Oryzias latipes: one gene and its partners. The protein of the gene in region 3 purifies or fractionates together with the protein of the main gene of each other region. This does not show direct contact. Links are inferred from orthologs where the notes say so. Each region holds a gene or a part of one and is shown on either strand. Other genes may lie near its edges. The genes, in order: gadd45b, gadd45a and map3k4.

Region 1 (3,577 bases), on a different chromosome or scaffold from region 3:
CTAAAGTCACTCCTACATGTTTTCTAACGTATTTTTATCATGTAGGGTCAAACTCAAGATGGAAGCAGAGATCAAATAACTCATTGATCTGCACCTTGTCCAGAAAAAACACGAGTTTTGCAAAAAGGTTTAAAAATATGAGGCTAAACCTAAAAAAGAAATCTGACTGAAAAAAATGCAGGATTTTTAGAAAGAAAGACTTGTCAATTGAGATTTTCTGTCCAATTGGTTACATTTTTGCCTTTTTTGATTCTAAGTCAACCTTTTTCTCCCTTAGACTACAGTAAAGTACAGTAGTGCACTCAGATTCTGGCTGTGACAAGCAGCTTTGATACTCTCAGCTTCTATCAACCTATTTTGTTTTAGACACAAATGTCAATATGTAAATAAATCCACAACGGTTTTTTTCTTTCTTTTTAAACACTAATAAAGCCATTAGCTACTTTTTTTAAACACCTGAAGTCATCCTTCTGGGTAAAGGGCCCCACTTTGCACCTGTAAGTCTCAACAATGACTAAACTATAAATGTAGTAACCTCTAAGTAATCTAGTAGAAAAACTTCTATATAATGTCTTCTCAGAGACTGCTCTGGGTCTAGAGAAGCAGAAAGTGACATCATACTCTTCACAAAAGGAAAAAAAAGGCAGAAATCACTGTTTGTTCAATGCATAATTTATTTAAATAAATGAGATTCAACATGTAGGTCCATTTTTTTCATATATTAATCTGTGCACTTAAATAACAGAAGGTTTCGTGCGTAAACAGGTGAGCAAGACACCTGGCTCTGTCCATTGCAGCTCCTCGTTCATGCATCGGTTCAGTCACGTGACGCCTCCGCTGTCGTCACCTCGTTTAAGAAAAAAAAAAAAAACTTGCAACGCTCCCTGACCCGGAGCCTCCAATCGCGCTCCTGGCGCGGCGGTTCAGCACCGACGCCATCATCCCACGCGCTCCCGTGATTCCGTCTAAAAGGCGGACTGAGGCTCGTCGAGCTCCCTTGGGGAGGAGAGTCGTGCTCCCCCTCTTCACCACGAGGGTCTTGGCTGTTCTCAGCTTCTTCTCACCGCTCCTCGGGCGGTAGGCAAAAGGCAAAAATGGAAAGGTTCAGTTGCGCTCAGCGGTCCTTCAGCTCCAAGCAGGGAACCCACAGGTTCCTGCAGCGGCTCTCTGCGCAGAAGCTGCTGACGTCCTGCAGAGCTTGACACTGGAGCGGCTGCACGGGGGGGTTCTGCAAACAGATGAAAGGGGGGGGGGTCATTTTCATGCTTCAACACGGTCCTGTGGATGCACTGAAAGTGGTGCGTTAAGTGAAGGAGAAACTTACAGTGACCAAGATGCAGTGCAAGTCCCGGGGCTCGTTCCCGTTGCTGTTCTCGGTGTCCTCCCCCAGCAGCTGCGCCAGGCGCCTCATGCCGGACACCCGGAGGATGTTGATGTCGTTATCGCAGCAGAAAGCCTGCAGCAGCGTGAAGTGGATCTGCAGCGCGATGTCGTCCGCGTCCTCCTCGTCGGTGGCGAGAAGACACAGAACCACACTGTCTGGATCTCTGCAGGAGCAAACAGAAGAAAGCCGGGTTAGCGCGCGCCTTTTGGAGCCATTTCAGACGCGTCTCGTGGAGAAGAAGAACTTACACATTCATGAGTTTGGCGGACTCGTAGACTCCCACTGTGAGGCAGTCCTGCCTCTGAGCCGCGACCAGCAACTCCTCCAGAGCCTGACTCACCGTCTCCATCCTGCAGAAAACAAGGAGGCGGTTAGAAACCGGGGCGCGCACTGCGTAACGCATCTCAAACAACACCGCTAAACTGCAACTAACGGAGAATTAGGGCAAAGACAGCTTTTCAGACACTTACTTTTTGTCGGTACTGCTGGATCCAACAACCTCCTCAAGAGTCATGCTGAAGTCAGTAAAATAATCCACAAGCTCCAGGATAAAAAACAGAATCCCCAGCGATGCTGAGACGCGTTTAGATCCAAAGGTAGAGTCCCGGCAAAACAAATGTAATCCAGATAGGTTTTTGATCGTTGTTCCGTCCGTGATTGAGTTCTTAGTCCGTGTTCTTAGTCTGTGTGAAGGTTTCTGTCCTCTTACAGTCGAAACTGTCCGCTTTTATAGGCGGATCGGCGCTTCTTGACGCGCCCAGACGCTTGCTCTCGCTGATTGGTTTCGCCGCAGATGGGGAGCGCAGCGATTGGTTGGGCGGGCGTCAACTGCCGGTGCTCCCACGTGGGTGGTTTCGGAGAATCCCCCGCTCTCAGCCCTCCTCCTCGTCGTATGTCTCCGTTCTCTCCACTAAGCGTGTTTACTGGGAGCTTTCGATCTGAGTGGAGGAATTTCCAGATCTTCCTGCTTCCTCTCACCAGAAACTTAGGGGGCTACAAAAAACAAAACTGCACAACCACCCAACGGTGCAGCACCTGCCTGAGGAAAGTCTCGAATTGGAATCAGATGATTTTCTTTTTTGTTTGAAAGCTTAGGACCATGGCAGGTGACTGCCCCGTGTCAGAGCACGAGCCCCAGCTTGTGTAACGGCAGCCCGGCGCTGCAAGTTGTGCAAGAGTGTTTTTTTTAACGCATACCAAATAACAGTAAAAGATCATGCTTTTTAATATTAGCAGAAGTGAAAAGTGTGGTTTTGATTTTTGCAAGTTCATTCTGCTTCTTAATACTCGCTCCTTACCGCCCCCCCCCCCTTAACCATTATCCCATTAATCTCCTTTCACCATGCAACTGCAATATGCAGAACCATCCAGAAAAACAGTCAAAAATAATAAATCAAACTGACTGCAGACTGTGCGTAAACTTACACTCAAGTGTTTCAGCAAGCTTGCATCACTCATGAGCTCCAGGTTTCATCAGAGCTTCCTGCCCCAACACACAGCTCTCGATCGCCCCCTAGCGGGGGAAAAGGAAATCTTGCAGGAAAAAAGTTTCTGCAAAACCAGTCTGGTTGCAGGAAGAAAGGGGAGGGGGGGGGATTCCTGGTGCTCCTCAGGGACTTGAAGGGGGCTTCTTACGTGGGAAATTTGCGCGAACTCGCAGGTTGTTTTATTTTTATTATTTTTTTAGGTGGCCTTTTAGGGAATTTCTGATTTGAGGTCCAGGATATAAAGCTTATCAAAAAGAAAAAAAGTGGGTTTCATTTCAGAGCGATAAGCATCTAAAACTATTTCAAAGACGTTGTTAACTGAATTAAACACAAATGACTGGAGATGCCCCTTAAAAACATAAATCTGGAAGACTGAAAACGAAAATAACTGCACAGGTTTATTGAGTGAACAAACTTCATGCACAAGGAGTCAGTTTTTACTTAAAATATTGTGATTTATAGTAATTTTCTTTAATATTTCAACATTAGTTCTTAAACATTTCCAGCCAAAGTGTTTTTCTTATCTTTAAATCTTCTATTGTTAACATGTTTTTCAATAAAACCCTCATTAAAACCCTATTTTACTTTCTTGTGTATGTATTTATATATTTCTGTGAAATTTAATTCAGTTAATGCTTAAAAATAATAAATTGTAAAATACAAGTGGCCCTCTGCAGCTTTTGCTGGGTTCTGGTGTCATTGCGCC
Region 2 (3,898 bases), on a different chromosome or scaffold from region 3:
TGGTCACATGACCTCTCACTGAGGAAGCAGAGCAGGACCGGGAAATGCAGCAACTTCCCCCTCCCTCTCCTCTCGTGACTCCCGAGTTTCAAAGGGGTGGCCCGTCTTACATCAGCCGTATGACGCCGCCGCCCCCCCCCTCTGGAAAATCACCTGCCTGTGTGAGCACCGATGACACAGCAGGAAAGCGGAGGAGTGTGGGCGTGGCCTGAGCAGCTTTCACAATAGATGACACGCAGAAAGAAAGGTTCCAGGTGTTTCCAGGGATCTGCTCCTCAGTGAAGCTGCAAACGGCAGCAGGGAAACCCTCAGAGACCTGAGAACGAATGAGGAACTAGTTACCCATCCTAGTAACTAGTTACTAACCTGTGGCGCTCACTCACTACGGGGGAAACGAGAAGGCGAGGAAAAAGAGAAGCTGTTTGGATGAATGCACGGGTTCCTGCTGACCCAAGCAAAGCCCGTCCAGAGAGGGGCCGTGGATCATTGTCCTCTTTGGCTCAGAGCGGCACAGAGGCCACAGCGGCCGGCGTGACCCCGGGGATCTGCATGTGACGCCTTTTACAACTGCAGCTGCTGAAGCTCAGCGTTCGCCCCACAACCCAAAAACAGGGAAGAAGTCCAGGAAGTTCTTCCAAAAACGGCTTTTATTGACAGCAACACCTGTTCTGTATTCTAAACTTCAAATGGTAGAAAATACAACATAAATACATTTAAATAGAATTAAAATAACTTAAATTGTAACAAAGAAACTAGTTCATTTGTTGCAAAAACAGCAGGTAAATGAAACACTGAACACAAAGTCTTCCCTGAAGCCGTTTTCCTTCTTGAACAGGCTAAACTTCATGGTGAACAGGAGAAAACTGGAATCCTGTTGAAACGGCTGAAGGTCCAGTGTTTCACAAGTGCCTTGTGTCTGCAGAGGCCCGAGCCGGGGTCCACTCCCAGCTGCATGTTCTGGCTCAGACCCGCCCAGAGGCCCGTCTGTCCTCTGCCCAGCTTCACATTAAAGCGTTTATCGTCTCTAACTTGCGGCGACACCAGCGCGTCCACGGGTTATCTCGCTCATAAAGGCTGACGGTCGCTACTCCAAACAGAACTGCTCACAGAGGAAATCCCACCCTTCATTTTTTTAACTCTGACTTCCTCTTGCTTTGTGATTTTGTTCTTTTCCTCCAGAATTGGACCTTTTTGGATGGTACAATGTGTCCTTGGGGTTCACACCACTCCTGCTTTTAGGCAGGTCTTTGCCCCCGGCGGTTCACCGCTCGGGCAGATAGATGATTGGCACCCACTGGTCCATGCCCCGGCTCTCCCTGCAGAAGCGGCTGACTTTGCTCAGGGCGGGGTCTTTCCACGATGTTGAGTGTGGGCTCTGGAAAGAGGAGCGGGAACAGAATGAGTGTTTGCAGACGGGGCTGTGCATGTGAGCGTGCACGCACATCTCAGCTGAATAGACACATGAGGGCGGAGTCACGTGCCCGCATCAGAAGGGCAAGTACAGGCAAGTTCTCCTGTTGGTTTCGCTCACGTGGGCGTGCAGAACCCCCCAGTGACAGAACTTACACTGACAAGAACGCAGTGGAGGTCCAGAGGCTCCCCCCCACTCTGCTTCCCCCCTCCAGCCAGAATCTGCCCCAGGCGCCGGGTGCTGTTGACCCTCAGGATGTTGATGTCATTCTCGCAGCAGAAAGCCTGGATGAGTGTGAAGTGGATCTGCAGAGCCACGTCCTTCACGTCGTCCTCGTCCGTGGCCAGGACGCACAGAACCACGTTATCCGGGTCTCTGCGAACGAAAGCAGAAGTTTCAGAACCGGCCGGTCCCCCGTTTTCTGCCCCCCTCCAGCTGAGAGCCGCGGTCACGTCCTACTCACACGTTGAGAGATTTGGCAGCCTCGTACACACCGACAGTGATGGCGCCCTGAGGCAGCGCGGAGGTCAGAACTTCCTCCAGAGCTTTCGCTACCGAATCCATCCTGCAGAAAGACGACCGAGTTAGCGGTCAGGAACCGGGACACGTCCCGCCGGCCGGCGGCGTCGCTCCGACGGCAGCAAACAGACACAACCATCACAAACTAACTCCGCGACTTACTTTGAACACGAAAAGCTCCGAAAGAGTCCGAACCAGCGCCGGTTCGCACAGGAAGACCATTTCTCTGTTAGCTAATTACACCAGTGCGCTCGCGACCATTTCTCTGTTAGCTAGTTACACCAGACCAGTGCGCTCGTGACCATTTCTCTGTTAGCTCGTTACACCAGTGCGCTCGTGACCATTTCTCTGTTAGCCAGTTACACAAGTGCGCTCGCGACTGCCTGCAAAAGAGTTCCATTCAACTGTAAAAATAATAACGCCCTCTTCATCGTCAAAATTTCGTCATTTTTAATCGGAACAAACTCCTGCAGTCAAACGACAGGAACGAAACATTAATGTGTGTCGACAAAACTCATGATGTAGCGTATTTTTCTGTTACCTTTCCTGAGAATAGTCCCCGTTCAGTTCCTCAAACGTCATTCTGTACATTAAATCCAAACCCGTCGGTGTGACAAAGTGTCCCTGGAGTTTTCTGGGTCCAACGCACACAGACAAGCACTGACCCCGCTGCGGTGTAACTGACAGATACCTCTGGTAAGTTCACATTAAAACAGGTCGGGACAATGCGAGCCGGAGGACTCTTTGCATGTCTGCGGCGATTGGCTGAATGCAAACATCCCTGGCGTCTGATTGGACAGATGCTCGGAGGTGGGCGGGTCTTGTCCGGTGTAGTTACTACCGTAACTGCAGCTCTCTGACGGACAGTTGGGCAAAGTCTCTGATGGTTTTTCTCTGAAACCAGAGTAACCTGGTCCTGTTCGGAACGGACCTGTGGCGCTAAACGTCTTGTTGACTCTCCGCCATCTTTAAATCTTCCTGACTCCTCGCGCTGCCCGCCAGTGTCACGTTTCATCACAGAAAGTGACCTTTTGACAGATGAGCTGACCTGTGGCTCACATTCATCAGCAGAAAGGGTTCAACCTTTGCCGCAGGGCTGGACAGGGCAGGCCTCAGGGCTGGACAGGGCAGGCCTCAGGTCAGCTACAGGACAGCGGACCGCTACTTCAGAATCCTGCTCTCTGATTGGTTCGTTCAGGAGCGCTGCTTTTGAGCTCCAGATCTACAGTAAGGCAGTTTCTCCCACAGGTCTGTGGCCCCTGTTGGACTCTGTGGTTCTGCAGAGAGGCTGGTACCAAAAAGCCTGACTGCTCTTCAAGCTATGCATGGGGGGGGGGGGGGGGGGGGGGGTCCAAACACTTTGGGGTCTCCAAAACTCCCTGCAGGCTCAGACAACACTGTAAAAACTAACACTGCACATTGCTTAATTAAATCAGTGAAACATTTTTACACCTTAAAATATTGATATCAAAGCTCTCAAATCAGTCAAACACATGATTATTGAGCGAATCTGCTTAATATTTTCTATTCCGTTGCATTGAAGTGACTTGGCACCTCCTCCATACTTGGTGATGGTAGAGGCGTGGCTGCCAGTTCCCGCCTATGCCCCCTCTGACCATCACCGGGACACTCACACACATTCACATACCAGTGGAGCCACGCTGGAGGCAGGGAGGCGGGTCTTACCCAAGGACACAGCGATGGTTGACTGGGGAGAGCGGGGATCGAACCGCCGACTCTTTGATCATTGGACAACCTGCTCAACCGCCCAAATAAAAACAACTTCGAAAAGCACATTTTGAACATAGAGTGAACATGCAGGCATATCTCAACCTAGAGGACAAGGTTCAGCTGGTACTTGTTAAAACCGAGCCCGTTGAGTTGGCGACACCAGTTCAGTGGCCTTGTGGAAGAGTGTCTGCCCCGTGACTGGAAGGTTTTGAGTGCAAATCCAGGCCAAGTCATACC
Region 3 (3,650 bases):
GAGACTTCCAAGGCAGGGTGCAGGCACTCTGTTTGTGGCTTAATATCACCCAGGACCTTAATCAGAAGCTGCGTGTAATGGCCACGGTGCTGGGCCTTCACGATCTCTCTCGCATTGGTTGGCCCGTCTTTGAGATCCCCTCCCCTCGCTGTTCTCACGGAAATGAAGAAGCAGAAACGGAAGAAGATGAGAACGACTCCACGGCCACTTTCACACCTGAAAGTGACGGCGAGGACCGAGACGTCGAGGAGGTTGAGGCAGACGTTGCACAGGGAGATTTGTCTCCCGTCCTGACTCCAAAATTTGCTCGATTATTGTCAGGAGACGAGTTTCTCCCGACCGCAGCTTCGGGAAATCCTGAAGCGACTGCGGGATGTGAAGCACTGTGTCCCACAGCCATTTACAGGCCGTTTGTGGATAAAGCTCTGAAACAGATGGGACTGCGTAAACTGATCCTCAGACTGCACAAACTAATGGACCGCTCTCTTCAGAGAGCCAGAGCAGCTCTGCTGCAGCAGATTCCTGCTCTGGAAGTAAGACTCAAACACTCAGTTAGCAGGTTATTTTAGATCATCCTGCTGTGAGCAGCTGTTTGAATGAATGCCAGAGAATATGTGTTCATTTGAATTTTATTCAGCTTCCAGTGAGAGGAAGACATCTCTTAAATATTAAATAATTCTTTTGTGTTTTATGGAGTCAATATTGTTTTAGTGGCAGACGGAAAAAGCGAGCAGAAACTCCAAGCTAACTCTCATTTTTATCTCTGCAGTTTGCTGACTTTCCAGATCCCATGCTGTACAGCGATTACTTGCCGGAGCTGTCTCGTCATGTGTCCTATAGCGATCCCACTGATCCAGAGCAAGGAGTGGATCAGGTGTCCAGGGAGGACTTGCTGGACATGGATCTCCCGTCCTTTCGTCCAGCATTCCTGGTGCTGTGCCGAGTCCTCCTCAATGTCATTCACGAATGCCTTAAACTAAGACTTGAACAGAGACCTGCTGGGGATCCGTCTCTGCTCAGTATAAAACAGGTAAGCAGCTCATCAAAGTCTTCATTTTTTTGGTTTCTTTGCACGTAATTAATCAGATTATTAGGCTGCAGGTGATCCATTTTTCCATCTCATGTTTGCTTTAATGTCTACTTCTTTAGTCAAGTAACAGTTTGCTTACTTAAGATTAGTATTTGACTTTAAATAACTTTATTTTCCAAAGAAAATTCATGGCTGTTGCAGTAACCAATTAGTAGGGCTTTGGATCGTTACTTAGGCGGCGATTCACTAATCGACATCAACGATTCACAGATCAAACCACAATTCTCACTTTCCATTATGTTTAAATGGTTTCATTATGCATTTCTCTATACGTAATGTACAAAAATTAATATAAAATCTATTTAAACACCATTTTTTTACAAAAGTTTTGAAGGAAATAAATGTATTACATGTAATGTACAGTTCCAGTAGATACATAAAAATTATGTCACTTTATGTAAGCTGACAACAGTGTTTACAACAGACATGTTTTATAAACCGACTTTTTTTCCCATCTTCAGTGAAAATGTCAGAACTACAAAACTTTAGATGAACATTTTGCAGATGTGTTCTGGTGCGGACTATCAGCCACGCTAGCATACACTCAAATTACGTCAAAAATCTGATCATGAGATTTTAAAGACCCTATTCGATTAAATTATAGATAGATAGATAGATAGAAAGATAGATATGATCTTGTGGCATTTTTCCAAAAGATTAAGAACACATGTAGAGAATATTAAGCCTTAAATAAGATTTCTGAGTATTTCTTTTTTCAAATCGTGAATGAGGAGCAGATGATAAAAGGTCTATTGAAAAAGATCATATTTGTGACATAAAAAATATGCTGGATATTCCAGAAGCTCCCTGTTCCTCTCCATTTTATTCAACCACTTACAGACAACAAACACAATTGTTGTTTTTTCTCGTCTGACTTGGCATTTGGCTCAAAACTGTATGGCTGGATAGCACTGATATTATTATATTACATTTCTGTTGCACTGGTAATGTTGTGAGAGGCTTTAAGCACTTAAGGGCTTTATTTCACAAAAATTAACTTCTGTCAATTGTTTTTTCATCTATGAACAACACTTGAGTGTTTTACTTAGAAAATGAGAACCTTCACCTACACTTAAGACTAAATATCTGTGGTTTAAGTGTATATACCTAAAATCCAGCATTATGTAGATTTAGAGCGATAATGAAGTACGTTTTTTTCTTCTATCCTTTACTGTATTTATAGATTTGCTCGCAAATCGGCTATCACGCACGTCATCGATATTTGCCCTCTGTTATTGTAGAACAGATTCTGAATATCCGAGTATTCGGATACTCGTTACAGCCCTACCCCTCGGTGCGTAGAATTGCCCTGACATGTATTGTTTGTCCCTCTGCAGTTGGTGCGTGAATGTAAAGAGGTTCTGAAAGGTGGCCTTCTGATGAAGCAGTATTATCAGTTCATGCTCCGAGGGGTGGCCACTGATGCTCAAGGCTTACAAACCAGTGCCAGCATAGATGAATTTGAAGAGGACCTTCACAAGATGTTGGTGGTAAGTCCTGCAACCGTCTCCACACCATTTAGATCAAGTTAACAAACCTAACAGAAGCAGTGAAATGGAAAGAAAAAGAAAAAGTTTAATTTTAAATGTATGGAGGATGAAGTGTACGTGCAATTTTGATGTAATCGCCATGTTTACTCTCACTAATTTCTGTTTGGGGTTGCAACTAAAAACATATCTTTTTAAAATAATTTCTGTGTTTTATCGTGTTTTACTGTGAAACACTTTGTAATTTTTATCTTGATAGGTGCTCTTCAAATAAAGTTTATTATTATCAACTGTTTGGTAAAGACGGAGGTCACCCTGGGCAGGTCGCCAGTCTATCAATATGGTCAAAATAAGAATCAGAAACAATCGCTTGGGGGAAAAAAGGATAACCTTGTGAATTAGTGGCACAGCAGACAGGCAGACTAGCTGACAGCATCTTATCTGGTGAGCCCAAGACAGCTTTGTCTTCTCCACTATCAGGATTCAAAGAAACTCGCACAACACTGATAAGTAATCATGACGAAGAATGATATACAAGAGACAGGAAGAGAGATTAGAATTCAGGGAGAGGTGATGGACTGTTCTTTGATTTCCAACAAAATCCACACAAGAGCTGGTCAGTTCATTTCCTGCACCGTGGTGACTTTCTGCAGCAGGGAGGTGGGAATGTTGGAGAACCTGAATCCCATACAGATAAGATGCCTGACATAACATCCAGACTTTGATGGATGCAGTCTGAAGCCTTCAGGCCTCAGAGTTGGTAGTTGGAAACCATGATGCAGCAGCTCGCGTTCACACCAGCCTGTTTTTACTAATCCAACACAACCCTGGATCTACATCATCCAGAGCTCCATCATTCCCAAATGTATATGTTGTGGAAAATCACTAAATAACTTCACACTTTCACAGAAATGTGAAAGTGTTGAGCAAGTTTATCATTGCTAAGTGTTAAAACTCTGAGTTGCACGCAAAAAGGAATCAAATTTCTGCTGTTTTTGTAGGTTTATTTTGAGTATATGCGCAGTTGGATCAAAATGCTGCAGCAGTTGCCTCAGGCGTCTCACAGCCTAAAG

Evidence for each region.
Region 1: the proteins of map3k4 (region 3) and gadd45b purify together in Homo sapiens (co-immunoprecipitation; 3 studies listed by BioGRID and IntAct, counting the BioPlex papers as one, with this or other methods). This does not show direct contact. The link is inferred for Oryzias latipes from reciprocal best matches to the Homo sapiens genes MAP3K4 and GADD45B.
Region 2: the proteins of map3k4 (region 3) and gadd45a purify together in Homo sapiens (co-immunoprecipitation; 3 studies listed by BioGRID and IntAct, with this or other methods). This does not show direct contact. The link is inferred for Oryzias latipes from reciprocal best matches to the Homo sapiens genes MAP3K4 and GADD45A.

The regions. Positions count from the first base shown.
Region 1 is NC_019862.2:22,490,535-22,494,111, forward strand, and holds gadd45b (growth arrest and DNA damage-inducible protein GADD45 beta), read right to left. Parts: upstream 2,103-3,577; 5' UTR 1,899-2,102; coding exon 1,855-1,898; intron 1,735-1,854; coding exon 1,633-1,734; intron 1,548-1,632; coding exon 1,325-1,547; intron 1,229-1,324; coding exon 1,115-1,228; 3' UTR 651-1,114; downstream 1-650.
Region 2 is NC_019875.2:6,098,417-6,102,314, forward strand, and holds gadd45a (growth arrest and DNA damage-inducible protein GADD45 alpha), read right to left. Parts: upstream 2,451-3,898; 5' UTR 2,093-2,450; intron 1,977-2,092; coding exon of another isoform or gene 1,976-1,976; coding exon 1,875-1,975; intron 1,787-1,874; coding exon 1,567-1,786; intron 1,376-1,566; coding exon 1,262-1,375; 3' UTR 630-1,261; downstream 1-629. UniProt on the Homo sapiens protein: In T-cells, functions as a regulator of p38 MAPKs by inhibiting p88 phosphorylation and activity.
Region 3 is NC_019873.2:25,298,165-25,301,814, forward strand, and holds part of map3k4 (mitogen-activated protein kinase kinase kinase 4), read left to right. Parts: coding exon 1-533; intron 534-769; coding exon 770-1,030; intron 1,031-2,427; coding exon 2,428-2,580; intron 2,581-3,578; coding exon 3,579-3,650. UniProt on the Homo sapiens protein: Component of a protein kinase signal transduction cascade. Activates the CSBP2, P38 and JNK MAPK pathways, but not the ERK pathway. Specifically phosphorylates and activates MAP2K4 and MAP2K6.